Linked DNA regions of Diceros bicornis minor. The protein of the gene in region 3 binds, or shares a complex with, the protein of the main gene of each other region. Links are inferred from orthologs where the notes say so. Each region holds a gene or a part of one and is shown on either strand. Other genes may lie near its edges. The genes, in order: NUP58, NUP54, NUP93 and CETN2.

Evidence for each region.
Region 1: NUP93 (region 3) and NUP58 share a complex: the UniProt entries of both Homo sapiens proteins name them as parts of the p62 complex. The link is inferred for Diceros bicornis minor from reciprocal best matches to the Homo sapiens genes NUP93 and NUP58.
Region 2: NUP93 (region 3) and NUP54 share a complex: the UniProt entries of both Homo sapiens proteins name them as parts of the p62 complex. The link is inferred for Diceros bicornis minor from reciprocal best matches to the Homo sapiens genes NUP93 and NUP54.
Region 4: NUP93 (region 3) and CETN2 share a complex: the UniProt entries of both Homo sapiens proteins name them as parts of the nuclear pore complex. The link is inferred for Diceros bicornis minor from reciprocal best matches to the Homo sapiens genes NUP93 and CETN2.

The regions. Positions count from the first base shown.
Region 1 is NC_080748.1:8,794,152-8,801,174, reverse strand, and holds the start of NUP58 (nucleoporin p58/p45), read right to left. Parts: upstream 3,022-7,023; 5' UTR 2,901-3,021; coding exon 2,794-2,900; intron 1-2,793. UniProt on the Homo sapiens protein: Component of the nuclear pore complex, a complex required for the trafficking across the nuclear membrane.
Region 2 is NC_080747.1:61,633,260-61,640,110, forward strand, and holds the start of NUP54 (nucleoporin p54), read right to left. Parts: upstream 3,012-6,851; 5' UTR 2,889-3,011; coding exon 2,822-2,888; intron 2,197-2,821; coding exon 2,035-2,196; intron 1-2,034. UniProt on the Homo sapiens protein: Component of the nuclear pore complex, a complex required for the trafficking across the nuclear membrane.
Region 3 is NC_080771.1:10,272,614-10,279,849, forward strand, and holds the start of NUP93 (nuclear pore complex protein Nup93), read left to right. Parts: upstream 1-4,233; 5' UTR 4,234-4,327; intron 4,328-6,097; exon of another isoform or gene 6,098-6,184; intron 6,185-7,236. UniProt on the Homo sapiens protein: Plays a role in the nuclear pore complex (NPC) assembly and/or maintenance. May anchor nucleoporins, but not NUP153 and TPR, to the NPC. During renal development, regulates podocyte migration and proliferation through SMAD4 signaling.
Region 4 is NC_080781.1:136,968,449-136,976,012, forward strand, and holds the start of CETN2 (centrin-2), read right to left. Parts: upstream 3,002-7,564; coding exon 2,942-3,001; intron 2,523-2,941; exon of another isoform or gene 2,257-2,522; intron 2,158-2,256; exon of another isoform or gene 2,062-2,157; intron 1,954-2,061; coding exon 1,774-1,953; intron 841-1,773; coding exon 682-840; intron 364-681; coding exon 235-363; intron 1-234. UniProt on the Homo sapiens protein: Plays a fundamental role in microtubule organizing center structure and function. Required for centriole duplication and correct spindle formation. Has a role in regulating cytokinesis and genome stability via cooperation with CALM1 and CCP110.

The DNA.
Region 1 (7,023 bases), on a different chromosome or scaffold from region 3:
GAAATTTACTTACTTTAACAAAAACAAAAGCTACCCCAGACCTGACCAATTATTGCCTCAACCCAGTATTACCTGCCAATGCCTCAACAGGATGTCTTGTAGAAAAGCCAAGTGGACTCCAGCAGGTCAGGCATGTTATTTTAACTTCCCCAGCTTGCCTTATGTGGACTTAGTAACTAACAGAATAGCTAACATTTATTGAGCACTTACTAAGTGCCAAATGTGATGCTAAATACTTTACGCGCTTTATCTCATTCAATCACTCTCTGAGGTAAATGCTTTATACCCCTTTTCCAGATGCGGCAATTGAGGCTTGGAAAGTAACTTCTCCAAAATGATTTACCTAAAGGGACCAAATCACCAGATGACGCTAAGGGAAGTCAGGCCTCCAAACCAGAACTCCAACGGACAGATGTTAGACTATCTCTCCTTCTATCAGTTTATCCAAGCCTTTCAAAAGCCTGTGTAAAGTTCTAGTTTACTACTAATAATTCATTTACTCAGTCACTCTACAAGTATTTATTAAAGCCCTTTTCATATGCCAGGTATTGTCATAGGGACTGATGATGGAGTAGCAAATAAGACTCACGCCCTGCCCTCAGGAGGTTTCTAGTCAGTGAGAGAAAGAGATTAATTAATCATTCATTCATTCAACAAATACGTATTGAGCTCCACTCTGTCAACTAGAAAAACAGTAGGAAAAGGCCTCCACCACCATGGAGCTTACATTCTATTGCTGGGATCAGACAATAAACAAGTCAACAAAAAATACAGCGAACTGATTACAGTAATAAGTGCTATGGTACAGAGTACTATGAGGATGGAGACCTCCTCTAGACTGACAGCTCAGAAAAGACCCCTCTGAAGCAACCATTAGTGTCCCCAAAGTAGGCATCAGCTTGGCATACAGGTCAGGTAGTAGTAAGGAAATTCCAAGCCAAAACGAATTGCCTTAAAGTGGGAAGAGGTTTGGCCAAGCCCACCTGGGGAACTGAGAAAAAGCCCAAGTTGCTAGAGCACGGTTTTTTAAACTAAGATCAGGACTCATCAGAGGAGTATAAAATCAATTTAGCAGATCACAACCAGCATTTAAAAAAATGAAATGGAACAGAATAGAAAATATCAAACGACATCACACGAAGCAACGGTAACTATCTTTCTTTGAAACTTTGTTTCAGTTACTTATTTGTGTGCCTCTACTGGGTGTTAATGTAAATGTTATTTATTTTTTTTTCCCCCAAAAGACTCAGGATGAGTTTGAAGAGGTTCCAGGTTATTTAGATCTTGCGGATCATGGTAAGATTTATTTTTACTTCATTTCAGTGATAGTGGAAAATCACTGAAGAGAGGCAAAGGGAATTAAAAAGTCACTCTGGTTACAATGTGGTAAAAAGATTGACCTAAAAGTAGATTTTTGAGACAGCAATTGGGATTCCGTTGAATTAATCCAAGTAAGATATGGTGGGAGAAGTTTTCCTCAAACAGGAGAAAGGTTACTGGTTAAACACCTGGCAGTGATCATAAGTATTTTTGTAAGAATGTCAGCCTCAAGAGAGTAGGACTCTTATTTATCTTACCCTGTAAAACAGAGCTTACTACATAGGAGTGCAATAAATATTTGTTCCATGAAAAATAAGAGCTTGCAACAGGGTAGTAGCACTGGAAATGAAGCAAATGGAAACTGAAGAATTAAAACTATCAGCCCTTGCTGAGTAAGTGTGTAGAGAGAAACGGAGGTATTAAGGAAAACTCTCAGATTTCTGACTTGACTACGCAGAAAACTCTCAGATTTCTGACTTGACTGTGTAGTCTGTGACCCCCCCACCCCTTTTAATACAGACAATGCTGAAGGTATTTTTGCCTTTTTAATCTACAACCACATTCTTCAAGCTTCAGAAGGTATCTTGTAACTCATTCTATGTACATTTCCTGATTTAATGAACTCCTCCAGTTTTATCCTCAAAAGACTGAGTTCTAAAGATCAAATGTCTCATAATTAGAATGATCTCTAACTATTTTAATTGCCTCTTTCTGGACCTCTGCTACCCAAATTTTTGTCACCACCTGAAGTGGTGGTGTAGCAAGTTGCACAAAAACGATGAATATGTTACCTACGTCTTGCAATTTAAGTAAAAGACAATGTGAGTCATTACAACACAACATTCTCACTTATGATATACTCATTTGCACATACTATACTATTCAAAATTATCACCAATACTGTAGAAAGTATTTAAAACAAACCAAAAAAAGGACAGACAGGGTCCCACGAGGCAGAAAGACTTGAAAGCTTGTTTAAAATAACCATGAAATCATTAAAGCCCTGTAATGTCCAAAACCGTAAACCTGCACTGGAATCTGAATTATCAGGGAGAAATTTTTAATTGTCTTGCTTAAAATTTTCTACTAATTGTCTTTTAGTCACAATAAGCTATGGTCTCATTCATTCGTTCAACATTCATTCTATGCCTAAGACTGACGCATCGCCAGGGCTCAAGAGGTGCAATCCAGGCCCTTTCACCCCGCCAGACCTCGCTCGGTAGGAACAACGTCCGCACCATCGTAGGTTCTGGGGTCCTCACCACACACAGACCATCGCCCTCCTCCCACCAGGCCGCCGGGAGGGCCCGCGCAGGGCGGCGAGCGGGACGCCTACGAAGCTGGCGCCGGGCAAGGCTTCTTCTCCAGGCCCACCAGGAAGGAGACAGCGAGAAGAGAGAGAGGAGGGACCCCTCCCCACTCCGGGAGCCCCGGGAGAGGACCCGGGCCGGAAAGGCGAGGAAGCGCGGTTACCTAGACGCGCCTGTCCCGAAGGAGAAACCGCCGCCAGTGCTGGTCCCGCCGGCGGCCACGGTGGTGGAGCCCAGTGTGCCGGTCCCGAAGGAGAACCCCGTGGACATGGCTGCCCGGGGCTCCGCGCGGTCGGCAAGGTGAAAGTTGTCTGGGACGCTCCTCCCGCCTCAAAGCCGGGGCAGGCCAGGCAGCATCGCCCGCCCCCAGCCCGGGCCTGGCGGGAACTTCCAGCCCCAGCGGCCGCCAAGACCAGGCCCAGGTGGGTGGAGTTCCGGCGCCCGCCGCGCGCACGTAGCCCACGGGAGCGAGCCCGCCGCGCGCACGTAGCCCACGGGAGCGAGCCCGCCGCGCAGGGAACCCTGGGACGGGGATGGGGTCGGCGCGCCGCGCAAGGCAGCCTGGGAGAGGTGGGGTCGGGCCACCGCCTACTCTGTTAAGGGGAGGGCGCCTGGTTAAAACCCAACGAAGCCGTTTCTCTCGGCGCCTGTGCTACGGTGTTTTGTACTTTATGGCCGTTGACTCTTGACTGTTGCTCATATCCTTTTTTACTACCAAAAAAGGACGCGCAGAATCCCAGAGTTGGGCAGGCGCTATTGAGCAGTCCAAGCCCCTCTTTCAGAAAAGGGGGCGATTCCAGTCTTTCGTTGGGTGCCACCCGTTCCCCAGGAAGGACTGAGCGTGTCTGTTCCTGACGGTTTGGAAAGCGATCGATAGTACGGCATACTCGTTTTGTTGTGCTTTGCTTTGTTGAGCTTCGCACATACTGCGTTTTTCACAAGACTCTCCGCTAGCAAAAGGATTGTGACTCGCTGAAGGCTCAGATGATGGTTAGCTTTTGTTAGCAATAAAGTAGTTTTCAATTAAGGTATGTACATTGTTTTTTAGACGTAATGCTATTGCACACTTAATAGACTCTAGTATAATGTAAACGTAACTTTTACATGCACTAGGAAACCAAAATATTCGTGTGATGCGCTTTATTGTGATACTCACTTGACGGCTGTGGTGTGGAAGCGACCACAGTATCTCCGAGGTATGCCTTGAGTTCACTCATCCGTCCCAGGACGTGAGCAGCACGTCAGCGCTCCGTGGGTGCGGAGCCGGTGAGGGGCAGTCATTGCGAGCCTCATGTGGCGGCCACCAAGGGGGCTCAGAAGAGCGTCCTTTCGTGGGTGGAGTGGCCAGTCCTGTTAGTGGTGCTGAGCAAACAGAACTGGCCAAGCCCCTGGATGTCAAAGGGTGTTGTCCAGTCCACAGGTAGTGTCAGCGTATCCTGCAGTGTTAAGTGTCGGACCTGGGGCCTTTGCTCTGGGGCTCCGCCTGGATGGCTGCCTCCGGCTTTGCAGCGCTCAGTCGCCTCTGTGCTACCTACTAGAGGAACTGCAAAGTGGAAGGGATAAAAAAAAAGTACAGAAAAAAGTAGAATATAAGGCGAAATATAAGATTGCTATGAGCGACCTTTAAACATAAGAAAAATGTGGGTTTGAAGAAGCAATTCCCTCTGGCAAAAGGATCAGGACAGGTTTCCTGGCGGTGGTGCATTGGAGGTGCTGCCATCGTAATGTGGGTCTTCATTTTTCCATCAAGAATTGTTACATTACTCTCGGAAATGGTTTTCTTACCTGCGGTTTTTTCCAATAAAATTCATGCCATAAGCAGTCACCAGATTTTCTCTCCTAAAACATAATTCTCACCACAACACTGCCTTGATCAAAAACTGAGTGGTTCCTTACCCTGGCACTCAATGTCCTCTATATGACCAATCTTTCTAACCTCACATCTCACAACTCCTCTCAATGCAGCACTTTCTCCTGTGTTGAGCTTGGGCGTTGCCATCTGCTATGGACTGAATTGCATCTCTCCAAAATTTCCTATGTTGAAGCCGTAACCCGCAATGTGATGGTGCTTGGAGATGGGGCCTTTGGGAGGTAATTAGGTTTAGATGAGGTCATGGGGGGGCGGGGCTTGATGGGATTAGTTCCCTTATAAGAAGAGACTCAAGAGAACTCACTTTCCTTCTTTCTCCACCTCTGAGGACACAGCCTAAAGGCAGCCTTATTTAAACTGGGAAGAGAGCCTGTGGGAACCTTGATCTTGGACTTAGCCTGCAGAACTGTGAGAAATAAATCTCTGTGGTTTAAGCCACTCAGTTTGTGGTGTTTTGTTATGGCAGCCTGAGCAGACTAATAAACCACCTCTGTGTTTGTATAATTAAAAAATTAAATGGCATTTTAAATATTATGTTGGTCACTATGGGAATGATAAAACAAAAAAGAAAAGGGACATATTTGAACTATATTATAAAGAAAAAATTCACAATGATTGAACAGGAAGATAAAAATAAAATAATGTGGGTTTTAGAGCCTCAATGACGGAGAGAATGCTATTATCAGTGACGACTGTAGGATAGTCAATAAGAGGACGGGAGATATAAAGTCTAGGGTACTTTTGACTGGAAAAAAAGGTGGATCCAGATGATTTTGGTAGGAAGATAGAAAGTGGCTCCCTATGTCTTTTAATGGCACTTCTGTCTTATATCTGGCAGAGTAGTTTAAGTTATGCTGCAGTAACCCCAAAAATCCCACAGAGAGAAGCGCTGCAGAGATAGAAACTGGAATATTTGCTGAACAGTAGTACAATCTACCATGTGCCTCTAGATGCACCAAGTGTAAGACTGAACCTCGAAGACCCTTTCTCATCTTTTCTGCCTTCTTCTGTTTGTCCTGTTAGCAAAAAGAAAAGAAAATAAAACACTTTACGTCCTTATGTTCTACAGAAATAAAACTCCAAAGAAAGCAGTTTCTATAAGCCAAATTATTTGGTTATTCAATTGAAAAATTGAGAGTAAAATGGCAATAACATAAGCTTTATGCCTGTGTAAGCCTAAAGCCTACTCAGACAGGCAAAACAACGAAGCACTGGAATTTCGCTTAACCTTCCGTACCTAGTGAGAGTAACACATCCTATTCCAAAAGATGGTCCAAATATTCCTCTTCAAGATTATGGGACCTGAACTGTGTATCAATTCTATGTGAATTACTGCTTTCCAAGAATGAAGCAAGTGATTCAGATCCTAAATTCTATGGCAAGCCACTTTGCTTCTCTTTGTTTTTTACGTTGTGAGAATTCTGTTAAGAAACCCCATCCTTTGCTGATTTACCGGCTGTATGATGACATTGCTAATGTCATAATCAAACTGAATTATCTGAAAAGCAATAGCACTGTAAAAAGATTCTAATTTGAGTTTGCATTGAAATATCTAAATAGGCTTGCTTCAGTGGTGTGTTCAGATTGGGACAACCCTTTGAGAAGTATCTGTCGAGAGGTTCTAAAACAGAAAGGAAGTGGGAATTTCAAGTCTGTTTAAAGGGATCTGTAATGTGTATGATCTGATCCTCTGAAATATCCAAGAGAGAAGTTATCTTTTAGAGACTATATATATAACCAATTTCCCTCTATCTTGAATGTATTCTCAGAAGGGAGTCTATTGACTTTAAAGATTTAGATAGTGTCCTTCCTCTTAAAATCCTATTAAATTTTCAAAAGATCCAACAGCAAAATTTATAAAGAGATAGATCAATAATGAAAGTGTCACAAAATGTTAACAATTTGTGACTCTACAAGCAAGGTATATGAGTGTTCATTGTACTACTCTTTCAACTTTTCTGTAGTTTTGAAATTTTCCAAAATAAACGTTAGAGGGAGAAAGCTTAACGCTAAAACGTGTTTCCAACTTTTGATCTTCCAGCAGATCAGAAGAGTAATGATCTGTTTCCTCCAAGAAATGAGAAAAGTGAAAGCAGTATAGGGAGTTTTCCATGAAACTAAATATATTTAAGTCAAAGTGTGGTCATTTATTTTGAAATTATGTCCTTCCTGTTGGTGAGTGTGGGGGATGAGACATGAATAGTTGCTTTCATGACCTGATAACGATAATGGATAAGGAGAAGATCAGGAAAAGAAACTTGGCAATGTCAGCATAAAATAAAGGAGGGAAGCTCTCTTGTTGCCACCATTTTTAACTCCTCCCTTTTTCCTTAAAAAAAAATCCCAATTTTCTTCAAGGTAGCACACTAACCAGATAAACAACTACATATCCCAACTTCCTTTACAGGTAAATGTGGCCGATTAGATGTAAATGTGAGACGTGAGATGAGACTTCCTGGCATACATCCCTTTGGCTTTTCTCTTCCTTCTTCTTTCCTGCTGCCTGAAACTTAGACACATGGC
Region 2 (6,851 bases), on a different chromosome or scaffold from region 3:
CCATCACAGGCCTCTGCCTCACAGTTTGGCAACTCTGACAGATACACAAATTTCATTTTGAGGTAAGTCTAGAGATGAAATTATTCTCAACCATATCTAACTTGACTTATGAATGGAATGAATGCTAGTCTATCAATCTAAAATTGTTTTATGTTTTTTTCCTTATTGTCAATCTTTACCTGATTATTAATGTGGAGCCAAAAAGACTTTTAAGACAAATGTTTGAACCATTAGTGCTCTCTGAGTTATGCCGCAGGTTTCTGGGGTTCTAACTTTTAATCTCATATATTTCTGGTATAAGAGACAGAGATTCATCAATATTGTAACATAAAAGAAGAAGGAAAGAAAAACAACCCTTTGATAGTCATATACTTCTGATTTGGAAAATTACTCAAGAATAGACTATATGTTGCATGCAGGCACAACCAAATACTCTATTTACTTGTAGGTTCTATTGCAGTACTGCAAACTGTAAACATTTTGATAAAATCATCTGAAGTACTGAACACTATTCTCAATCTTTTTCATTACTCCTCATTTTCACAGAAAAACTAAGATATATTCTGAATTTCGCTACACGATAAAAACACTAGTCAGTATCTTATCATGCTCCATCGTATCAAAAACCTTTACTAGTAATAGCGGATCTGCAAGGATACAAAATTAAAAAATAAACAAGAATTTCTATCAGCCCTTTGCTGAAGGCTAAGTTAATGAACATATATAAAAGTAGTTAAAACACAGTTATATTATTACAAGTCAAAACTTAACAGTAATAACTCCAAATGAACATGAAATCAAGCAAATACCAACAGGTTTATTTATTGTTGTTTAATTACGAGCTGGGTGGCTTTGTTCGGAAACACAAATTTCAAAACAATGTTTCTGTTTTACCCAGTGCCAATTTTAAGCAAACAGGAAAAAGTAAATATACCACACGACAGTGACACTGATCACTTTAAATATATCTGAATAATAATGGATTATTTTATCTTTGGAATTTTCAAGTATTCTTTTCAATATGTTTTCAAATCAGATGCCAAGGTGATAGTCACATTGCAGTAACAAATGACTGTTCAAAATATCAGACTTCCCAGTAAGTTTTAGGGAATAAATAACGTTTACCAAATGCATAAAATTGGCATGGGCATAAGTGGCATAAGGTAAGAGAATACAGACAATAAATTCATATACGAGCAGCTGAGGAACAAGACTTTTATATAGGATCATTGTATGTAAAGTACACATAGAGCTATTTTAAATTTATATATATACACACAGTTAATGTTTTAGTTTGTTTTGCAAAATTTCCAACAAGCTTCAAACAATCCATATAGATATTAAAACCTTCGTAATTATATTTTTGAATGCAAAGATGTCTAGCCTACCTTTTAGAACTCAATGCTATCTGACAATAAATTAAACTGCTCTCTCATCATTTCTCAAAAAATCCAATAAAGAACTGGGGATTATTTCTATAATTACATATCTTATGGAAATGTATCCTAAACTGCTGAGTTCACCAAAGAAATACACTATTACTATTACACAGGTTAAAAAATAAGACAGGTTACTGCTGTTCGTATAAGACTTGTTTCTCTTGGGAAACACAAGGACAATCAAATGAAATTGCAATGAAAGATGCAGGAAAAATGAAAAAATGACTGCAGGAGTCCAAGAATCCCAGGAAAATGGGCCTGACTGCTGAGTTTATACTTTGGAAGAGATGGCTAATCGTTTGGAAGATATATTCTACTCAACATAATAATCCATTCCAAATTCTTACACTTGGAAGGTATATTCTGTTCAATTAAACGCAAATTTAACAAAGGAACATTATAACTTGCAGAAACCAAATTCAAAACCTTTAAGACAGTCAAAACTTGATACAAGTGTTTTTGATTCGACATCAGGAAGCGAATTTCCTTTCCTTATTAGACAAGTCGCTGTTCTTTCCAAAACTCGAGGAACCACAAAATATTCTTGGACTCCAGCTCCCAACATTCGTTAACACATACGACCCGCAGTATCTACCTGCACTTGCCAGACTGTTACCAAAATTGAACGGAGTCGCCGAGGTAGTAGAAACACCGAAATTCCCAATATTAAAGTTCACTGCGGGATTAGCAGTTAATCCGAAACCCCCAAAATTAAACCCACTGGCGGTGGAGTTGGCAGTCTCAAGCCCACCAAATCCTGATAGGCGTGTAGGCAAAGAAACAAACAAAATTTTAAAAGGAGGGAGGGGAAAGAAGAAAGAGAAAAGAAAGCAAGACAAGGATTAGGAGAGTCAGCAGGAGGTTGCACAGAAGTGAACAAAGACAAACCCTGACTTGCTCCAAACGAGTTAAGAAGGCGGAGGAGGCGGGAACAGGAGGAGGGAGCGGCGTGCAGTCCCGCAGCGAGGACCGGAGGGGCCAGGCCGAAGGCTCCCGCGCTCCGGGGCTGACGCCGCAGCGGGAGCCCCGCGAGCGTGCCCGCCGGCCAGGAGGCGGGAGGGCAGGGCGGCTCTACGGCCAGGGGAGAGCGGGGCCGCCGGCAGTCTCTCCGAGGCCGACTCCTCGGCGCCGGGAAGCCAGCCCTCGGAGACGGGGCTCTGCGAGGACCCACGCGCGGCGTGCGAGCCCCGGGTTGGGCCTCGAGTCCCCCCGCGGCCTCCTGAGGAGCCGCCCCGGCCCGCTCGGCCCGCCCTTTTCCGAAGCCCCTAAAAAGTCTCCGCGCGGGCAGGAGACCCCCGGAGCCTCAAGCCCGAGGGTCTCGGGCCGAAGGGGCGGGCCAGGGCCCTCCCCACTCCCCGGGGGAAGATCCGAGGCTCACTCACCCGCGGGGGCCGCGGTGGCTGCAGCGGTGCCCGAGGTGCCCGAGGGGGCCCCAAAGTTGAAGGCCATGTCGCGGGAGCAGGGGACCGAGGCGCTGCTCCCGCGACACTCGGTGCACTCCGCTTTTCGATCCGGCGTGGAAACCGCCCCCGCATCACGGAGTTCCGCCTCTTTTCTGGCCTAGCCTGAGAGGCCTTTGAACGCGCGAAAAGCGTCCGGGGTGGAGGGCGGAGAGGGAACGTCCCCCGTCCGGCTAGCTTCCGGGGGCTTTGTGGCATCACGTGGCGTGGAGCGTCAGGAGGTGAAATGCTGGGAGCTCGCGGGGACATGCAGCCTGAGAGCCAGTGACAACTGCCTGTCCCTTGGAAGAGGTGTGCGGGAGGCTGAATACTAGCGCGTAATGAACACAGGGGAGGAAAGAAAGCCAGATCCTCATCCTCCATAGTGGAGTCAGTGGATAATGCTCGCACTGAAAATTCACGGAGCAGCGTGTCATCTAGAGGGTAAATTAAAAAAAAAAAAAGGCTAAAAGAAGTGCCTCTGAGAATGATGTCTGTTTAGGTTTTTTTAATATACCAAACCTTGTAGAATTGATTCTTAAATCTATGTGCTTGTATAACTAATAAAAATGAAAACAAGCAACAAATATGCCATTGTATCTGCCAAACTTACAAATGTCCGTGGACCCAGCAATGCTACTTCTAGGAATTTATCTTATAAATGATTTGGGAAAATGATGGAATACACGATTATTTGTTACAGCATTGTTTATAATAAATGATTGGAAACAAACAAGGGTTTGCTTAAATAGTTGCATTTATACAAAGGAATACTATTCAGCCATGAAATAGGAACAGTAAAGCTCTGTATGTACTGAAAAGATCTCAAAGATAAACATTACACAAAAAACCATTTAGAACACAGTATATGGTATTCTACAATTTGGGTGGGGGAAAAAAAGAGGGCTAGAATGAATAAACACACATATTTGTATAAAATATTCCTGGGAAGATACATTAAAAATAAATAAATAACATTGGATGCCTCTGGGAAGATGAATTGGTGGCAAGGAGATGGGTGGAGGGAGACTTTGCACTCTAAATTCCTTTTATGCTTTTTGAAAATGTAAGTGGGTTAGCTATTCACAAAATTAAATAATGCTAATAGTGTAATTGCAGGAGTCCCAGTGAGAGCGCTGATACCCGGATGAGGACAGCAGGCATGGAGACTGAGGAGCAAAGGACTTGGTGATTGTTGGGATGTGGAGGGGAGGGGAAAGGAGAAGTCTAGCAAGAGTCTCTGGTTTCTGGCTTGTACAGCTGGCTAGATTGTGATGCCATTCCCCAGTAATGGGAATTTGGGAAGAAGACAAGAAAAAATGAGTTCTTTCTTTACTTACTGGATTTGAGGACAACCTGGCTGAGGATAGGCAGTAGGTGTTTGGATATGCAGGGCTGAGGTTGAACAGAGGGGCCCAGGTTTAGGCTGTAATTGACCTCAGGGAGTCAATGGGATAGTCAGGGAGAGAGGATCAAGTGGGAAGAGGTTGCAGCCAAGCACCAGCATTAAGACGAAGAGAGCAGAGAGCCATCAAGGGAGCCTGAGGGAGAGTGGCCGGAGAGACAGAAGAACCAGCAGAACGGAATCACAGAAATTATGGATGGAAGGGGAGAATGATCAGGGATGGAAAAGGATGGGTGAATATTTCTTTGATACGAAGTCTTCCCTAACCACCGTTTTTAAAATAGCACATCCCACTCCTGTCACTCTGGCTACTCTACTGTCTTAGCACTTACCACCACCTATTTATTGTCCCCCCTCCCCCCACCCCATTTAATGTAAGCTCCACGAGGGCAGGGAACTGTGTTTTATTTACTAGTTGTATCCCTAGTGCTAGCAAAGTGCCTGCCCCCATGATAGACCCGTATCCAATACTGTGGAATGAACGAATGAGTTCCATGACATGTCCTTCTCCCTTGCCTTTCCCATATTCATCTCCAAGTCCTAAATATTTTATCTTTTAAATATTTCTAAAATACCTCATCTCCACTGCCATCTCCCTAATTCAAATTACCTCAATCTCTTGCCTAGACCAGGGATCAGCAAACAGCAGCCCACGGGCCATATGTAGACTGCTGCCATTTTTGTAATGTAGTTCTACTGGAACTGACACTCCATTTGTTTATGTGTCGTCTGTGACTGCTTTCACGATACAAGTGCAGAGCTGAGTAGTTGTGACAGAGAGGCTTACAAAGCCCAAACTATTTTCTATGTGGCCTTTTACAGAAAAAGTTTGCCAACCCCTCCCTAGACTACTGCAGTAGCCCCGCAGTGCAATGAGCAGGACTGTCCGGCTATGACCTGGGCAGGTCATTCTGGGTTGCCCGGAGAATGAGCTGGCTGTGGCTGGGGGTTCCCCTTTCTCTTAGGGGAAGTGGCTGCACCCAAGCTTAGGTCCCATGAAACCAGTGTCGTCTTCACCCCAGCAGTGGAGATTGTAACATTCCCCAGGCAGCTAGCATTCTCGGACAACTTCTGTAAGCTGTTGTCACCCCAAATCCAAACTGCCTGTTGCTCAGCAGCTTTTGTATTCCTCCTCTGACAAGACTGCTTCTTCACACTTGCCCTATAAAAAGGGGGACTAGAAGGTGGCTACATTCTTCTTACCGAGACCAAACAGTGCTCTTGCCCTTGGCTTGCTTCTCCATGGGATGACAGGAGGATGGAGGGTCTGTGCCTTTTTTCTAGCTGTCCTGGCCCTACAAATTTTTATTTTCCCCAATGAAACCCATTACTTAACCCATGCTATGTGGCTTTGTGGAATTCACCCTGGAGGCTAGTGGATGACACCCAGATAAGCTCTATCTTACATGCCAACCCACCTAACACAACAGCCTCCTAACTGACCTTCCTGCATCCATGTTGACTCTCTTCCAGTTTATTCATCCTGCAGCTAGAGTGAGTCTTTCTAAACAAACCTATCCTGTCTTCCAGTCCCCCCTCCCCAACCCAATTTACAACACTTCAGTGGCTTCTCATTGGTCTTAAAATAGACCAAAATCTTTAACATGGCTTAATAAGATCCAACATTGATCTGACCCCTGCCTTTCTCTCTAGCCTTATCTCCCACTATTCTTCTCTCTCTGAACTCTAGCCAAACATTTTCTCAATCACCTGTAAACATGCTCTTGGGCACATCCTGTTTTCTCTGTCTGAAATGCTTTGCTTTGCCTAAGTAACACCTACTTTCCAGTCTCAGTCAAATCTTACTCCACTGGGGAAGCCTTCCCTCAACTCAGAGTCATGTTACCAGACTTTACATTTGTGATTTTTGGTTACTGTCTGTTTCCCCGACGAGACCATAAGATCTATATGTCTCTTTTTGGTCACCAGTAGCCTAGTTTATAGTGCCTGGCATAAAGTGGCTGCTCAATAAAATTGGTTGAACACATTATTTTTAAGTATAATGTAGAAAGAAGCTAGGCCCAAAGACCACATATTGTACAACTCTATTTATATAAAATGTCCAGAAAAGGCAAATCTATAGAGACAGAAAGTGGTTTAGTGGTTACCTCGGGCTGGGGGTGGGAATAAGGATTAACTGTAAACTGGCATGAGGGAATTTTTTTTTTTTTTTTTTTGTGAGGGAGCTCAGCCCTGAGCTAACATCCATGCCAATCCTCCCCTTGTTTTGCTGAGGAAGACTGGCCCTGAGCTAACATCCGTGCCCACCTCCACTTTATGTGGGACACCACGACAGCGTGGCCTGACAAGCCGTGTGTTGGTGCACACCCAGGATCCGAACCCTGGCCGCCAGCAGCGGAGCGCGCGCACTTAACCACTACACCACTGGGCCGGCCCCATGGTGTGAGGGATTTTATTGAGGTGATAATAAAACCGCACAACTCAGTAAATTTACTAAAAACCATTGTATTGTACATTTAAAATGGGTGAATTTTTATAGTATGTAAATTATACCTCAATAGACGTTTAAAAATAAAAAATATATTAGTTGAATAAATGAGACTATAG
Region 3 (7,236 bases):
TGTTGAAAGTACCACCTTATATTGCACGTGAGGGCCAAGGACATTCGATTGGGAAAAGCTTAATGAATTCTGGCCTACTGACATTGTAACAAGCGTGCTAGATGAGCTGCTAAAGGATTCAAGTGATGCCTGCATCCTTCAGGATTATTTTGATTGCAAGTGACAGAAAACCCAACTGAAAGTGAGGAAAACATGCACTTTTTTTTCTCATGCAACAGAACATTCCAGGAATAGGTTTAGCTTTAGCTTGATCCAGAAACACAATATACTGGATTCTAGCCTCTCTCTACATCACTGCATTGCTCTGTTCTGTAACGGCTTTGTTCCCAAGCAAGTTCTTCCCTCATGGCTAATAAACAATCAAAGTTTTAAAAGGTTAATTTCAGGGAGTGAGAACTTCTGTGAAAACACCTTCACAGTTCTAATTCCAGTGGTAAAGAGAACAATTGTCTGAGTGGAACATCTTGAGAGTGAATTTTCTTAAGTCATAGACCCATCCCCGAATCAGCCCTGTGGCCAGGGTACTGGAGTACTCTGATTGGCTAGGCCTGAGTCACATGCCACCAATCAAAATACAGGGACTGAGAGTAGGGGAGGGGCGGGTCGGCAAAGGGGAGCCAGGGTGCTGAACAGCAGATGTCCACTAGAGACCCACTGTCCAGTAATACAGTCTAGTGTACTGGATGCCCATCCCATATACTTAACGAGTTAATCTGAAGACTAAGGATATCTGACAGTGCTCCAATTCAACCAGACAAGAGTGCAAAGATTTGCATTTTTTAACGTGACCATGCAGGCAAAAAAGGTAAAGTTATGTACTTGGCATGTACATAACACATGCAAAATCTCTGCTATATGTAAGTGCTCCACCAAAGATTTCCTTTGAAAAAAGAGTTTTATTGGTAAAGAGTGTTTGGAAACCAACAGCGCAAATTGGGGGAGTTAAGGATTCCCTGCTGCTCCCCAGATCTCTTTTAAGCAGGAAAGAACGTGCAATTCCCCGACTCGGAGAAAGCGCAAGTCTTACGGGGACCCTGGAGCACACTTCAGGACAAGCCTCAGACAATGGTGCTTGGTAAGTTCTGAGCTCAGTTAAAAAGCGATGTTGGAGAAAACTCTTCTAAACTGTATAATTAATTAATAGACAGAAACAGCTCCACAAATCACACCGATACAGACCTTGTTGTCAGGAGAAAGAAACTCTTGTTTTTGTAGCATTTGGACAAGAAGACCATTCAAGGAGTGGGGTTGGAGGTAAGTTTGGAATCCTCAAAGGAAATTCTTTGGATTATATACCTGGGTAAATATTGGGAAGCTGATGTTTGTTTTAACTCTTGTGCAAACAAAATGAAAAAACAAGTTTTAGTTATTTTTTCTGATTATAGGAGCAATGCATGGTCATTTCACTGCAGAAACTATGAAAAGTGCACTAGCTTTTCAGGGCTTGCCTGTGCTTCCAACCACCCAGGAGAGACTCTGTCCCCGTCTTATCATATTTCCTTCTCTTTTTCTCTCTCTAATGTGTATTTTTAACAAAGTTGAAGTTACAGTTATATTGTTCTGCTTTTTTCCCCTTCTTGGTCATTTTATCCTTTATTATTTAAAAATATTATTTTACACATACAAAATTATTTATATGTAATATATATGTAATAGTGATTCATAATATAACCAACACCTATGAACCAACTACCCAACCCAAGAACTAGAACATATCCAATACCTTACATCTTCCCAGGTGGTCCTCCCCATATCCCTTCCTATCCCTAGAGATAATTACAATCTGTAATTTCCTATTTATCATTCTGATGTTTTATAGTTTTATCACAAATGTATCTATGCATAAACAATATATTGTTTAGTTTTACTTGCTTTTTAATTTTATTAGGAATTTTGAGCTCATATTATACTATATAGTCTTCTGACATTTGCTTTTTCCACGTAACATTATATTTCCAAGATCCACCCATGTTGTGTTTGTAGCTGTAGCACACTCATTTTTCTTTGTTGTGTAATATGCCATTGTGATAATATCCACAATTTATCCTTTTTCTGTTAATGGACATTTGGCTTGTTTTTTTGCTATTATGAACTGTGCTGCTATGAAGATTCTTGCAAATATCTCCTGGTGCACATGTGTAAGAGTTTCTCTTGAGCATATTTCTAGGAGTAGAATTGCTGGGTTTTACGATATGGAAATATCCAGCTTTAAAAGGTAAGTGTCCTGATTTTTCATTTGGCAATGTTTCATGAATATTTGTCTATGTCATTAAAAATTCTTCTTTACATAAAAGAAAAAGCAAGGTAAAAGGATAAAACATTATGCAGATGCAAGACTATTATATTTGTGAATATTGTCTGACCACAGCAGGCTCTGAATACATATTTAATAGCTTTAGGACAAAGGCCACACCCATACATATTGTCAATCAGCACCAATAATTTATACAGAACCCACAATATGCTAGTGTGAAGTGTTCAAGATAAACAAAGCTGGACACTAAAGTGGTAAGACCATATTTTAATCAGTAATATACTATTGCAATAGGGAAGAGTCCAGCAGGAACTGAACTCAACTTGGATTTGTACAGAGGTGACTGGGTGTTTCAAAGGGAGAATGAGAGAACAGGGAAGGGGGTGAGCTACACAGAGTCAGGGAAGTGAAAAATTACAAAAAGTGAGAAGGAAATGTTGGTCCACATGAAACCATCTGGGTTTGCTAACTGGCGATTATAGAAGTTAGGCTCCTACTCTCCCACAGAGGCTGGGAGACAGGGGCCCCATCTTCAGATATTGGCCAGAACAAACAGTAAATTCTTCTGGCAGCCTAGAGTTTTCTCAGTCAGGTACTTTAAGAGGGGCTAGGGTCACCTAGGGATACGACCTTGAGCTGTTAGAAACTATGTTAGTGTTTTGTTCAAGTCTTTATAGACCATGGTTGAGGCCTAGAAGAGAAAATGGCTCAGAGGAGCCTGGCTAGAGTTCTGTCAAGGAGGGAATCTTTGTTAGAGGATAGAGGAAAGACGTGGTGAGGGTGGGCAGAGCACTGTTCCTCTCCTCTCTACCTCTGCTTACTCCATTCCCTAGACCAGGAAAAACCTTCCCTCTCTCTTTGCTAGGCTAATCGCTACTCATCCTTATGGCTCAGTTAAGGTGTCACTTCCCCCAGGGAAGGTCTCCTTGACTTCCAACCCTCCAGACTGGGTTAAACTCCCTTAGCATCCTTACATAGCTCTGTCGTGCACTTAGCACATTACACTGAAATAAAATCTGTTTATGTACTTGCTTCCTGACCTGATGATAAGGACTGGGCCTTATTCATTTTGGGACGTTGTGAGCACTAATGTATGTTGCATGAATGGACATTGTGACACTCCTGGTCCCACTATCTTTATGTGCTGGACAAAGCAGTAATCTCCTAGTGCCACTCTGCTGCCTACTCTCCATTCTCCAACTAGAGGGCTAGGAGGATCTTTTACAAAGGTAAGTCACACCTCGTGTCATACCTCTGCTTCAAACCCTCCAGTGGCTTCCATTTGCATGAAGAATAACTTCAACTTTCTTGCCATGGCCTGAAGCACCTGCAAAGTCTGGCCCCAGCCAACTGTGAGTCTTACCCCACCTGTCCTCATTCATCCTCTGCCGGCCATATGCCCCTTCTTTCTATTCTTCAAACAACAAGTTTGTTTCCCTGAGGAGCCTTCATTCCTGTTCCCTCTGCTTGGAATGTTCCACAGCCACGACTTTGCAAGACTGACCCTTTCTCATCATTCATATTTCAGTGGAGACGTTGTCACCTCCTCAGAGAGGCCTTCCCTGACCACACAGGCATTCTCTTTTCCATCACCCTGCTTTTTTCGTCTTAGCTCTCCTTACAAACTGGCAGTTATTTATTATATTTTTCCCCCCACCAGCCTGAGAACTCCATTAAGTCAGGGATCTTGTCTGTCGTGGTCGCCACTGTGCCCCCAGCGCCTAGAATAGTGCCTGGCACTGGGATGGTATTCAATAAAGGGTAAGAAATCATTGCAGGCAGTTCTGGAATCACTTTCTCCAAGCAGGGCCGACTCTAACCACGTGGGAGGGGTGAGGGCTGTGGCCTCTGGCATGCCGTGAGTGACTGCTCAGCCGCAGGCCCCGCCCCCAGCCCCGCCCTTGTCCTTGTCCTCCTCCACAGGTCTCCATAAAGTTCATTTGGCGGCGCGCCGCGCGGGGGCTTCTGGGAGCGGCCGCCTCGGCCAATCAGGAAGCGCGGGCGAGCGGCGCGAGAAGTGGCGGCGGTGTTCTCCGGCCGGGACCCCAGCGGCGGAGGCGGCTGCGGTGCCAGGTAAGGGTGAGCTGGCCGCGTCCTTCGACCCGGGACTTGCCCTTGAACCCCGGGCCCCGACGTGGGCGGAGCCGGGTCCCCACGCTCGGAGCCATGCTGCTCACACTTCCCGTTCGCCTCATGGCAGCCGGGCACGCGTGACGCCGGCGACGCGGCGCCCTGGCGAACCGCCCCCCGTTATAGCGCGGGCCGCGCCCCGGAGTGCCTTCCGTCTGCCCTCGTTCTGGGTCCGGAGCCCGGGCCTCCCGACTCCCCTCTCCCGGCGCTGGAGCGCTCTGCCGCGGCGCGCCACGCCCCCACCCTTCCCCTGCTCTGCGAGCCCACCATCCCCACCACGACCTTCTGGTTACCTGCCGACCGCGCCCTGCTGGCTCGCTCGCCCCTCGGGGGTACACCTTGTCCGGAGGTGTTGCCCTCCGAGGGAAGGGGTCTTTAGGGCGAGGGCGACGACGCTGTGAGCCTCTCCCAGCCCTTGGCCTGGCTCCTCTACCAGCATCCGGGGGAATGCTCTTCCCCATCCAGGGAGATGCTAGTGATTAGAACCCGCAGGTGGCCTGCACTTTCTCGGGCCCACAGCACCCCACCTTCTGCAAAGACAGTGCCCAAGTTTACGGGGTCTCGTTTTTTAGCGCAGGGGTCTTTGGTCAAAGTTTAGGCGACCCTTTGACAGAGCCGCTGCTCTGGGTTTGCCCCTCTGTCAGGTGTGAGGAGAGTTTTTTTTTTTTCTGTTTTGGCCGAAATGTCTTTCAGCATACGAGGGTCACCTTTAGTATTCTGTCTGGGGGCGTGAGAGGGTGTCCTTGGGCATCGTAGCTTTTCTTTCGTTCCGCTCTTCTCCTTTGTGCGTTTGTTTGGAACGTTTTCATATTTCATTCATGGTAATCTCATCGAGGCTCATAGTTTTAAATACCTACATATTAGGCTAACATCTCATATTTATATCTCCAGCCTGGCTCTCTCCCTTCACCTGCAGCCAGCTGCCTGCTTGATATCTCCACTGGGATGGTTGATGGGAACTCAAACTGACGATGTCAAGATAGGGCTAGCAAGCCCTCCCCCCCATCCCCCTTCCCAAACTGCTCTTCTTGCTGGTTTTTTCTCATCTCAGTAATATAAAAGGCTTTGGCCAATAACCTTTGAGTCATCCTTGCCCCTGCTGTCTGTCTCACTCCACCTGCAATGATTGCCGCCCTGGGCCAAGTCACCACCACCTCTCACCTGGATTATTGAAATAGTCTCCCATCTGGTGCCTTGGCCCCTCTTCAGCACAGCAGCTAGAAGGATCCTTTTAAAACACAGGTCAGATCGTATCACTCTTTTACTCAAAAAATCCTCCAATGGGTCCCTCGTTTAAAGACAAACTCTTTACAGTGAGCTATAAGGCTTTACATAATCTGACCCACTGTTACTTTCCCACTCTCCTTTTCTGCTACCCCCCCCTTCCGCATGTCAGACATGCTTCAGCCTCAGGGCCTTTGCGCCTGCAGTTCAATATCTATGTGGTTTACATCCTCACTTCTTTGAGGTTTTTAGTCAGGGGTCACCTAGTGAGGCTGTCCCCACTTCCTGCCTTCCTTTACTGCTTTAGTTGTTGTTCTTAGCACTTATATTTTACTTACGTATATTGTGTGTTGTTGGTCTTCCCCTCTAGAATGTGAAGGGGGGCTTTTTGTCTGTTTTTTTCCCTGGTGTATCCCCAGCACCTAGATCTGGAACACAGTAGGTGCTCAATAAATATGAAATAAATGCATGTTTCTGGCGCCGTTACAGGCTTGGGGATACAGTGGTGAATGAGACAGGCCTGCCCTCATTGAACCGTTGTTCCTGTGGAGGACACCACCAGCAGTAAACACACAGGTATAGAATGTAGTGTCAGGACTGTTTTTTAAAGGAGAAGGATATCAGAACAGAGACCTGGTTGAAATGAGACAGCAAGTCATGGGAATGTCTGGGGCAGGAGCATTCTGGAAGGGGAAGAGCAAGTACAAAGACCCTGAGGTGGGATCAGCTGGAGATGTAGTGAACTTGAATGTCTGAACCTGCTTCTTGATGGACTGAAGTAGAAAATAAGGTAGAGGGAAAGATGCCAAGAAGAGTGAGGAGTGAGAGCAAAGACCTGGAGGTAAGGGCCTGAGGTGTGTTCAGGGAACAGGTCGCTTTAATTCAGGAAATATTTATTTGTTACTTGTTATATGCCTCTTAGCAGCTGAGGATTCAGTGTTGAGCAGTCTGTGGGCCTTACCCTATAGGAATTCTCCATGTGCAGAGAGAGACAGATGTGGCAAGAAATCATCACAACTCTTCCACTGGAGAAGCACAGTAGTAGGTTCAGAATAGTGTGAGAGGGGTTTGAGGTAGGTGGGACTGCCCCAGCTGACTTTGCAACATACATAGGAGTCCCCCATGTGACAAGGTAGGTTTGGGTATGTGTTACAGCAGAGTGTGCACCTGCATGTGCAGGGGTATGAAGGGAGGAAACAGCATGAGGCACCCCAAGGAGTAGTGAATTGCTAGGGTATATTTGGGGGGAAGGCAGTAAGAGATGAGGATGGTAGGGGTGGCAGTGCCCGTTCTTTGGAGGGCACCCCGTGTAGCCGTGTCAAGGTGCAAGCACTTCCTCCTGTAGGGGATGGAAGGTGTCCCTGAGAGGATTAAGGCAGGGGAGCATTTCAGAAAGACCTCTCCTGCCCAGGGGAAGGTGGGTTAGAGGAATGAGAAGGCTTAGACTGTTGAGATAATCAGGCGAAAAGCATGCGAGTCAGAATAGGGGCGAGAGAGATGAGGGTTCAACTTTACAAAATGTTTGAGAGGTAGACCTGGAGATTGGCTGGATGTTAAGGAGAGGAAGGGGAGCCTGAGGTGACTCCCAGGTGGTTGCTGGCTGAATTGAGTGGGTGCTGATTGTTTTA
Region 4 (7,564 bases), on a different chromosome or scaffold from region 3:
CAGCAGTAGTACTTTTACTACTTTACAAAGGGTAAAATGACTTTTCTTGTGACTTTGTGGCCTTGAAGAAAGCTAAGTAGAACCGAAGCATCCTAATTTTCAGTTACAAATACTATCCTTTATCAGCTGAACTCTCCAGTTTGTATTAACTTTTCTTCAGTGAAGACACTTACATGATTCAAATGTATGCAGCATTATGGGTGGAAAATATGCTGATTATTTTAGCTAACTTACCATTTTCTGAGTCATCACAGTCAAAAAGTCACTAAAGTTCATTTTTCCTGTCCCTTCCTTATCAATTTCGCTGATCATTTTCTTGATCTCCTCTTTCTTGGGTTCAAATCCCAGTGCCCTCATTGCCACCTACAACGAAAACAGGATCATCTCAATAAGCACATCTAAACCTAGAGGGACAAAAAATGACAGCATTGAGACTATTGAGCCAGCATCAGACACAATCATGTTAAAATGATTAGGAAACACTATAACATTAAGCAAATCGATATTTGTGCTCAATTTTATTTAATAATACTTGAAGTAAGTAAAAACAGGAAAACAGAGCACAGTGCATCCTCCCCTGTTATTTTTTGGAGGGAGAAGAGGGCAAAAGGGGTAGAGCGGAAAGAAGATAAAGAGGCAGAGGAAAGGCAAGGCAGCAGAGCAGGAATGCACAGGGCTTGCCTTAAGTTCCTTAACATCTATAGTCCCAGTTCCATCAGCATCGAAGAGATCAAAAGCTTCTCGGATTTCCTGTTTCTGCTCTTCAGTAAGCTCTGGCTTAGGACTCATCCTTTTTCGCTGGGCAGTTGATGCCATGTTTGCCTTCTTAAAGCTGGAGGCCTTCAGACATTTTACAAACACATAAGCACAATATTATGCAATTTAGTCCATACTTTACATAAAAGTTACAGACAACCATATCTATTTTAAAAATAGTTTATACCAACCAATTCCAAAGCTTTGCTTAGCAGAAGAGATAATAGAGTTTACTGGAAAGAATAATGAGTCTTTCCATGCACCTCTATCCCTCTCTCTTCTTTACTATGGTTTCCAAGAATTGTTCTTTTGGATATCTCTTGTTGAAAATCACCCCCAAAGAGAGCTAGCCAAGGAGCTGACTGTGGATAACTGTACAGATGATCAGCTCTCCTTGAATTGGGGGATCCTAATTATAGAAACGTCCTTACAACACCCACTTGCGGTACTCCAGTTCCCTCTAAGTACTTTCTGATTACTTCCAGATTTGGCCAAATATTACTAAGTTAAGATGTATAGCCTGTCAATATCGAATAATAAAACTCAATCCACTCGGTACATTTGTGCCTTCTCCAAGAAGCTCAAAGCGTCTCGCAAATGTCCCTATATTTACATTGTAAAATGCACGTTAACAATCAAACATAATAAACCTCCCCCCAGCTCTGTGCGGAAACTTTGGTAGAGCGAGGCGGCCAGGAGGCCAGCGTCTGAGAAGCGTTGAGACCTGCGGGGAATCCGAGTCTTCTTTGCCCACTGACGGTCACCGAGGGGGCCGGGGAAGGCCAGGGGAGCCCAAGAGGCGGGTTGAGGCCGGCTGTGGGTGAAGGGGAGGCAGCGGCGAATCACAGGCCCAGCAGGGCGCCGGGCGTCTCTACCCTACTCTTCCGGGAAAGAGTTCAGAGGAAGGAGGGCCGCGCCAAAGCCAAGAACGGCGCAGCAAAGGCAGCGGGGCCAGGCCGAGGCCTAGGAAGGGCTCAGCCTCTGCCCGCCAGGCGCGACAGGGCTGCCGGCACTCACCATCTCCGACCGACTCCGCTGCCTGTTGTTACGGCAACCGACGTACACACTGACTCGGCGCCGATCCCACTGTCCCGCGCGCGCGGCCCCCGCTCCCCATTGGCGCAGGGCTGGAGTGGGTGGGGCTAACCCGACAAAGGCCAGGGCCGGGGCGGGGGGCGGTGCGCTCGCGGCCAAGACCTGGCCTCATTGGGCAGGATCATGCCGCGAGCGCCGATTGGCTGAGCCTGCTCCAAGCCGAGCCAATCCCCTTAGTGGAGGAGGCTCGGCTGATCCTCAGCTCATGCGGCAGAGCGAAAAGGGTGGTCGCCGGCGGCTGGAGGTGTGTGGGTGCTGTCTGCGGGCGTGCTGTCTGAGGCCGGCCAGGAGGGCGCCTTCGGACAAGTAAGGGTTGCCACCTCGCTCTTGGAGGCTGCCTTGAGTCGGCGACAGGGCGGGAGGGCCAGGGGCTGGGTGGACGATCCGGGTCGGGTGCTTTCTGGTCCGGCCTAAGAATTAGGGTCAGAGGGGCCAGAGAAGACCCTGACCTTGGGTGTTGGAGTGGAAACTGTACTGACGGAGCAACTGAGATCCAGAGAAGGAAAGGGGCAGGCCGAGCATTGTCGCAGAGGTTCAGACGGCTGGGACTTAGAAGCTGAATCCAGCAGAGGATCTTTGAGGGTGTCTCTTCGAAAGCAGCCCTGTCCCCCAGACCAGATTCCAAGAGAGGATCACTTTAGTTCTCACCTGGCTAAAAGCAGCCCAGGCAGGTGAGCTGGGAGCGGGGAACGGACTTTGAAGAGAGTGAAGGAAATATGAGCGAGCATGAGGGGGAGAAGTCATCAAGATATACTCTTTTTGACACCCAAACACTCAAGGCGGATAGGGAGGAGCATTCCAGGTCGAGACACCCTGAGGAGTTTTGGAAGTGTGAGGCGTGCTTGGAGAACTACAAGGGGGCATGTGCAAGGGTGTGGCTGAAATGGAGCTGCAGCAGTGGAGCTGGAGGTCCAGGGTTGCCCTCCTCAGCCAGCGCAGTGTAGGAGCGCTCCGTGGCTCTCAGCCCTTACCTGCATCTCCTCTGGGCATTGGGGCAGCATTTAGGGAGGCAGGGGACAGAGCATAAGTTTCTCAGGCTGAGAAAAGCCTGAGATTTATTAGTGTCCGTTAAATTAAAGTGTTCACTGACCTTCTGCCCTTTGCCCTCTTCCCCTTTGAGCATGAACCAGGTCGAAAACCTTTTGGTCATATTTGACTCTTTCTTTTCCTGTCCCGTCCCCATTAACCAGCCTCCAAGTTCTATCAGTTCTCCCCCTCGAATGCCATTTCTTTTCTCTTTTCCACCTCTGTGGCTCCTCTTCCAATTCAGGCCTTCAGCAGCAGCCTCCCACCTAGCAGAAGCCAGAGTTCTCACCATGGTCTGCAAGGTTTGGCATGACTCCCTCCACCCCCACTCCTCCTCTGGCTCGCTATGGCCCCGGGACACTTCCTTGCTGGCCTCAAATGCACAGGCTCCTTCCTACCTTAGAACTTTTGCTCTTACTGTTCCTTCTGCCTACTGGTTCACTTCTTTCCCTCCCCCAGGTCTTTGCTCAACTGTCACCTTCTCAGTGAGCCACCCTAAGCACCCTATTTAGCACTGCAGCCCCCAGTACCCCCAAGCCCTGCACCTTGCTCTACTCTTTTCCCATAGTATGTATCACCTTCTAACCTACTGTGTATTTTACTTCTTTATTTTGTTCTTTATTACCCATCCACTAGGAGGTGAGCTCCAGGAGAGCAGGCAGCTCTGTTTTGTTCATGGCTGGCCCTCCAGTACCTGGAGTAGGGAGGGGCACATGGTGGGTGCTTGGTAAATCTCTGCTGAGCAACTGGCAAGTAGGCCCCCTGTTTCCTGCTTCTCACAGCTCTGCTGAGGTCACCCCCATGCTCTGAAACCTTCAGAGGCTTCCCGTGACTGCAGAATAAAGTCCACACTCAGCCTGGCATCTGAGCCTTCTACCCAGTTTTGCCCCTCCTAGTCCTTCTAACATCATGTCCCTTCACACCCTACTTCCCAGTCAGTCTGCGGGGTGGCATCCTGCCAGAGTAGAAGGAACAACCACAAATTCTGCCTTGACCGTGTACCAGCTGTGTGACTTTGGGAAAGTCACTGGACGTCTCTTGTTTGAGCCCTACAGCGGCTGTGAGGTCAGCAGGAAGGATTGCTGCTCTACAGATGAGGCCTCTTAGGCCAGCTGCAGCAGCACAATTCAACCTGTACTCCGTTCCAGGCTCTTTGCTGGCCCTCACAGCCTAGTGAGCCAAGACAGACGTGGAAAAAAAGTATAAACCAGCGTGCTAAGTGTCAGAATGGGAGCAGAAATGAGTGCTAAGGAGGCAGCTAACCTTGCCTGGGGAGGGGGACGAGGTCTCACAGAGGTGACAGTTGAGCTAGGCCTTGAAGGATGAGGAGAAACTCACCATGGAGAGGAGGGGAAGATATTCCAGGCAGAGGGAACAGCATTAGCTAAAGCTCGCAGGATGCTGATGAGTTTCTCAGTGGCCAGCACAAATTCAAAGCCAGGGCCTTTCTGTGTCCTAAAAGTAAACAGACAAGCAGAGAGGCCCACAGGTCCATGAAAAGACAAGGTTGAGCTGATTGAGTCCTGGGGGAAGTGCGTTTTGTCTTAAGTCCTCTTTGCATTTTTCTTGCACAGGCAGATGTTGTCTGTCCATGGACTAAAGTGATGAGCTTGCAGTAGCCACATTTTAGCTTCCCGCACTGACTCCATGGAAGGCAGCAGGCAGGGCCCCAGCTACCCCAACACACCCCTCTGAATTGCTCTGCATTTCCATTTACAAAGAGGCTGATCTCCCATGTTTTTGAAGAAGAGAACACTTGAGTGTCTCTCTCTATATATATCTGGTTTGAAATGGACAGACTATCCCTTCCTTTTGTCTCCAGGACTCAGTGGCAGGGAACTTTCCCCAGCAGGAAGGAGGAGTTGGGCTCACTCACTTCTCTATTCATCGAATCCTATCAGCAGCCCTCTTCCCCTTGCCCAGAAGTTGAGCGAGGCACTTGGATTTCACCATTAGAATGTGGGTCTCTTTTCCTAGGTCATTTTTAGCCTAAGACTTTGTCCCAGTGTGTATAGAGGGCGTACATACTGGTTTCTAATGGATTCAAAGACCTACTGTTTTAAAGGAAAAAGACTTGAGGCTTCCGATGTGTGAACCTTAACGATCCCAGCCCCTAGAACATGCTCTTTGAGGTCTTATTTTCCCATTCAGAGCTATGTGTGTATGTGTGGTAAAATAGACAGAACTGAAAATTGACCATCTGAACCATTTGTAGGTATACAGTTCAGGGGCGTCAAGTACAATTACATTGCTGTGCATCCATCCCCAAAACTCTTTCATCTTGTAGAACTGAAACTCTATACCTGCTAAACACTAACTCCTCCTCCCTCTCCCCCAGCCCCTGGGACCCACCATCCTACATTCTGTCTCTCAGTTGACTACTCTAGGGACCTCATACAAGTGAAATCATACAGTATCTGTCCTTTCATGACTGGCTTCTTCCACTTAGCATAATGTCCCCAAGGTTCTTATTTCACTAAACATAATGTCCTTGAGGTTCATCCATGCTGTTGCATATTGCAGAATTCCCTTCTTTTTTGAGGCTGAATAGTATTCTATTATATGTATATACCACATTTGCTTTTTTTTTACTTTTTATTATTTTATTGAGGTCACATTGGTTTATAACATTGTGTACATCATTATATTTCAGCTTCTGTATAGATTGCATCGTGTTCACCACCAAGTCTGATCTCCATCTGTCACCCATACATTTATGTCCCTTTACCCTTTTCACCCTCCCCCCACCACCTTACCCTCTGGTAACCACCAATCTATTCTCCTTATCTATGTGTTTGTTTATCTTCCATGTATGAATGAAATCATACAGTGTTTGACCTTCTCCATCTGACTTATTTTGCTTAGCATAATATCCTCAAGGTCTATCTATGTTGTCACAAATGGTATGATTTCATCTTTTTTATGGCTAAGTAGTATTCCATTGTGTGTGTGTGTGTGTGTGTGTGTGTGTGTGTGTGTGTATACCACATCTTATCCATTCATCCGTCGATGGACACTTGGGTTGCTTCCACCTTTTGGCTTCTGTGAATAGTGCTGCCGTGAACATGGGTGTAAAAATATCTGTTCAAATCCTTGCTTTCAATTTTGGGGGATATTGTTTGGTGGATTGTTTGATCCTATGATTATTCTATATTTAATTTTTTGAGGGACCACCGTACTGTTTCCCACAGCAGCTGCACCATTCTACATTCCCACCAGCAGTGAACAAGGGTTCCAGTTTCTCTATATCCTTGTCAACACTTGTTATTTTCTATTTTCTGGGTTTTTTTGATAATAGCCATCCTAATGGGTATGAAGTGATATCTCATTGTGGTTTTGATTTACATTTCCCTAATGATTAGTGATGTTAAGCATCTTTTCATGTGCTCGTTGGCCATGTGTAAAGTATATATTTTTTGGAGAAATGTCTATTCAATCAGAGCTCTTCTTGATGTGCATTTTATCCCTACCGTGTAGCACATGGGGGATTTAGGTTGAGGGGTGCCAGTGGGATCTGCCTTATTCCTTAGAGATGGCTAAGTATCACCAAAATTCTTATCTGGCTTATAGTATTTACAAACTTTACTACAATGTGTGTATAACTCGAGATAAAGCAGATTTGATTTTGTTCTTACAAGAGGCTGCTTTGCTGAGGATCGCGTGAGCATTGTTTGAACAGTATGGATCCACAGGGGCAGGATGGGTTCTTCTTTCACCTCCCGGATCATCCCCGAGAGACTGCGGAGAGCAGGCTTTAAGGCTTCTTGCTTTTCTACTAGTACAGGGGGGCTATGGAAGTGGCAGCTGTGCTATTTGGAGTTCAGGACTGCAAAGAAAACTTGTGTTGATTTCATGTGACTGCTGTAACAAATGACCACAAACTTGGTAGCTAAAAACAACAGAAACTTATCCTCTTACAGTTCTGGAGACCAGAAGTCTGAAGTCAGGGTGTCCTTGGCTTGTGACTGCATCACTCCAAATGCTGTCTGCCCTCTCATTTCATCATGCTTCCCTGAGTATCTGGAGAAATTGAGTGAGAAGCCGGCAGTGGGTATTCATGAATGTAGCATCTTAGGCAGGCGTCTGTGTGTATGTGGTGGAGAGCAGAAGGGAGTCTGCCTGGCATGTGCACACGCCATGTACTCATGGGGCCAGTGGAGATGTGGGTGCTCAGTTTGTGCCAGGCACTGTGTTCATGATGAGATACAGTGGTGAACAAGGCAGACAGAACTGCTAGCGCACTCTGTTTGCTGGACCTCGGTGCAAGTGCCGAAATTCTTGTTCCCCAGCTGGTACACACTGAGCCCAGTGAGTCAGAGCTCACCAGTCACATCTGTTTAGGGTGAACAGATGACAGGGCCCCCTGTCAACACAAGGAGGATTATGGGATAGAGAGAGGGAGGGGATAGGCATAGAACTCCAGGTCAACTTTGCTTATTCATTATATGCATTCTGAAAAGGTCTATGAAAAGAAGTTTTGAAATATATTTCCTGATAGCTTCCATTATGGTTTCAGAAATATGTTTCCCCAAAATTGCCCCATCAGACATTGAGGACGTCTGTTTCAAGGCCATTTTGGTTCCTACAAGGACACATGACTGTGTGTGTGTAACTCGAGGTGTGGAATTGGGTTGGAGCGGTCACAGTGTTTGAGACCCCAGTGCTGGCTGTCTGCCTGCCTGATACC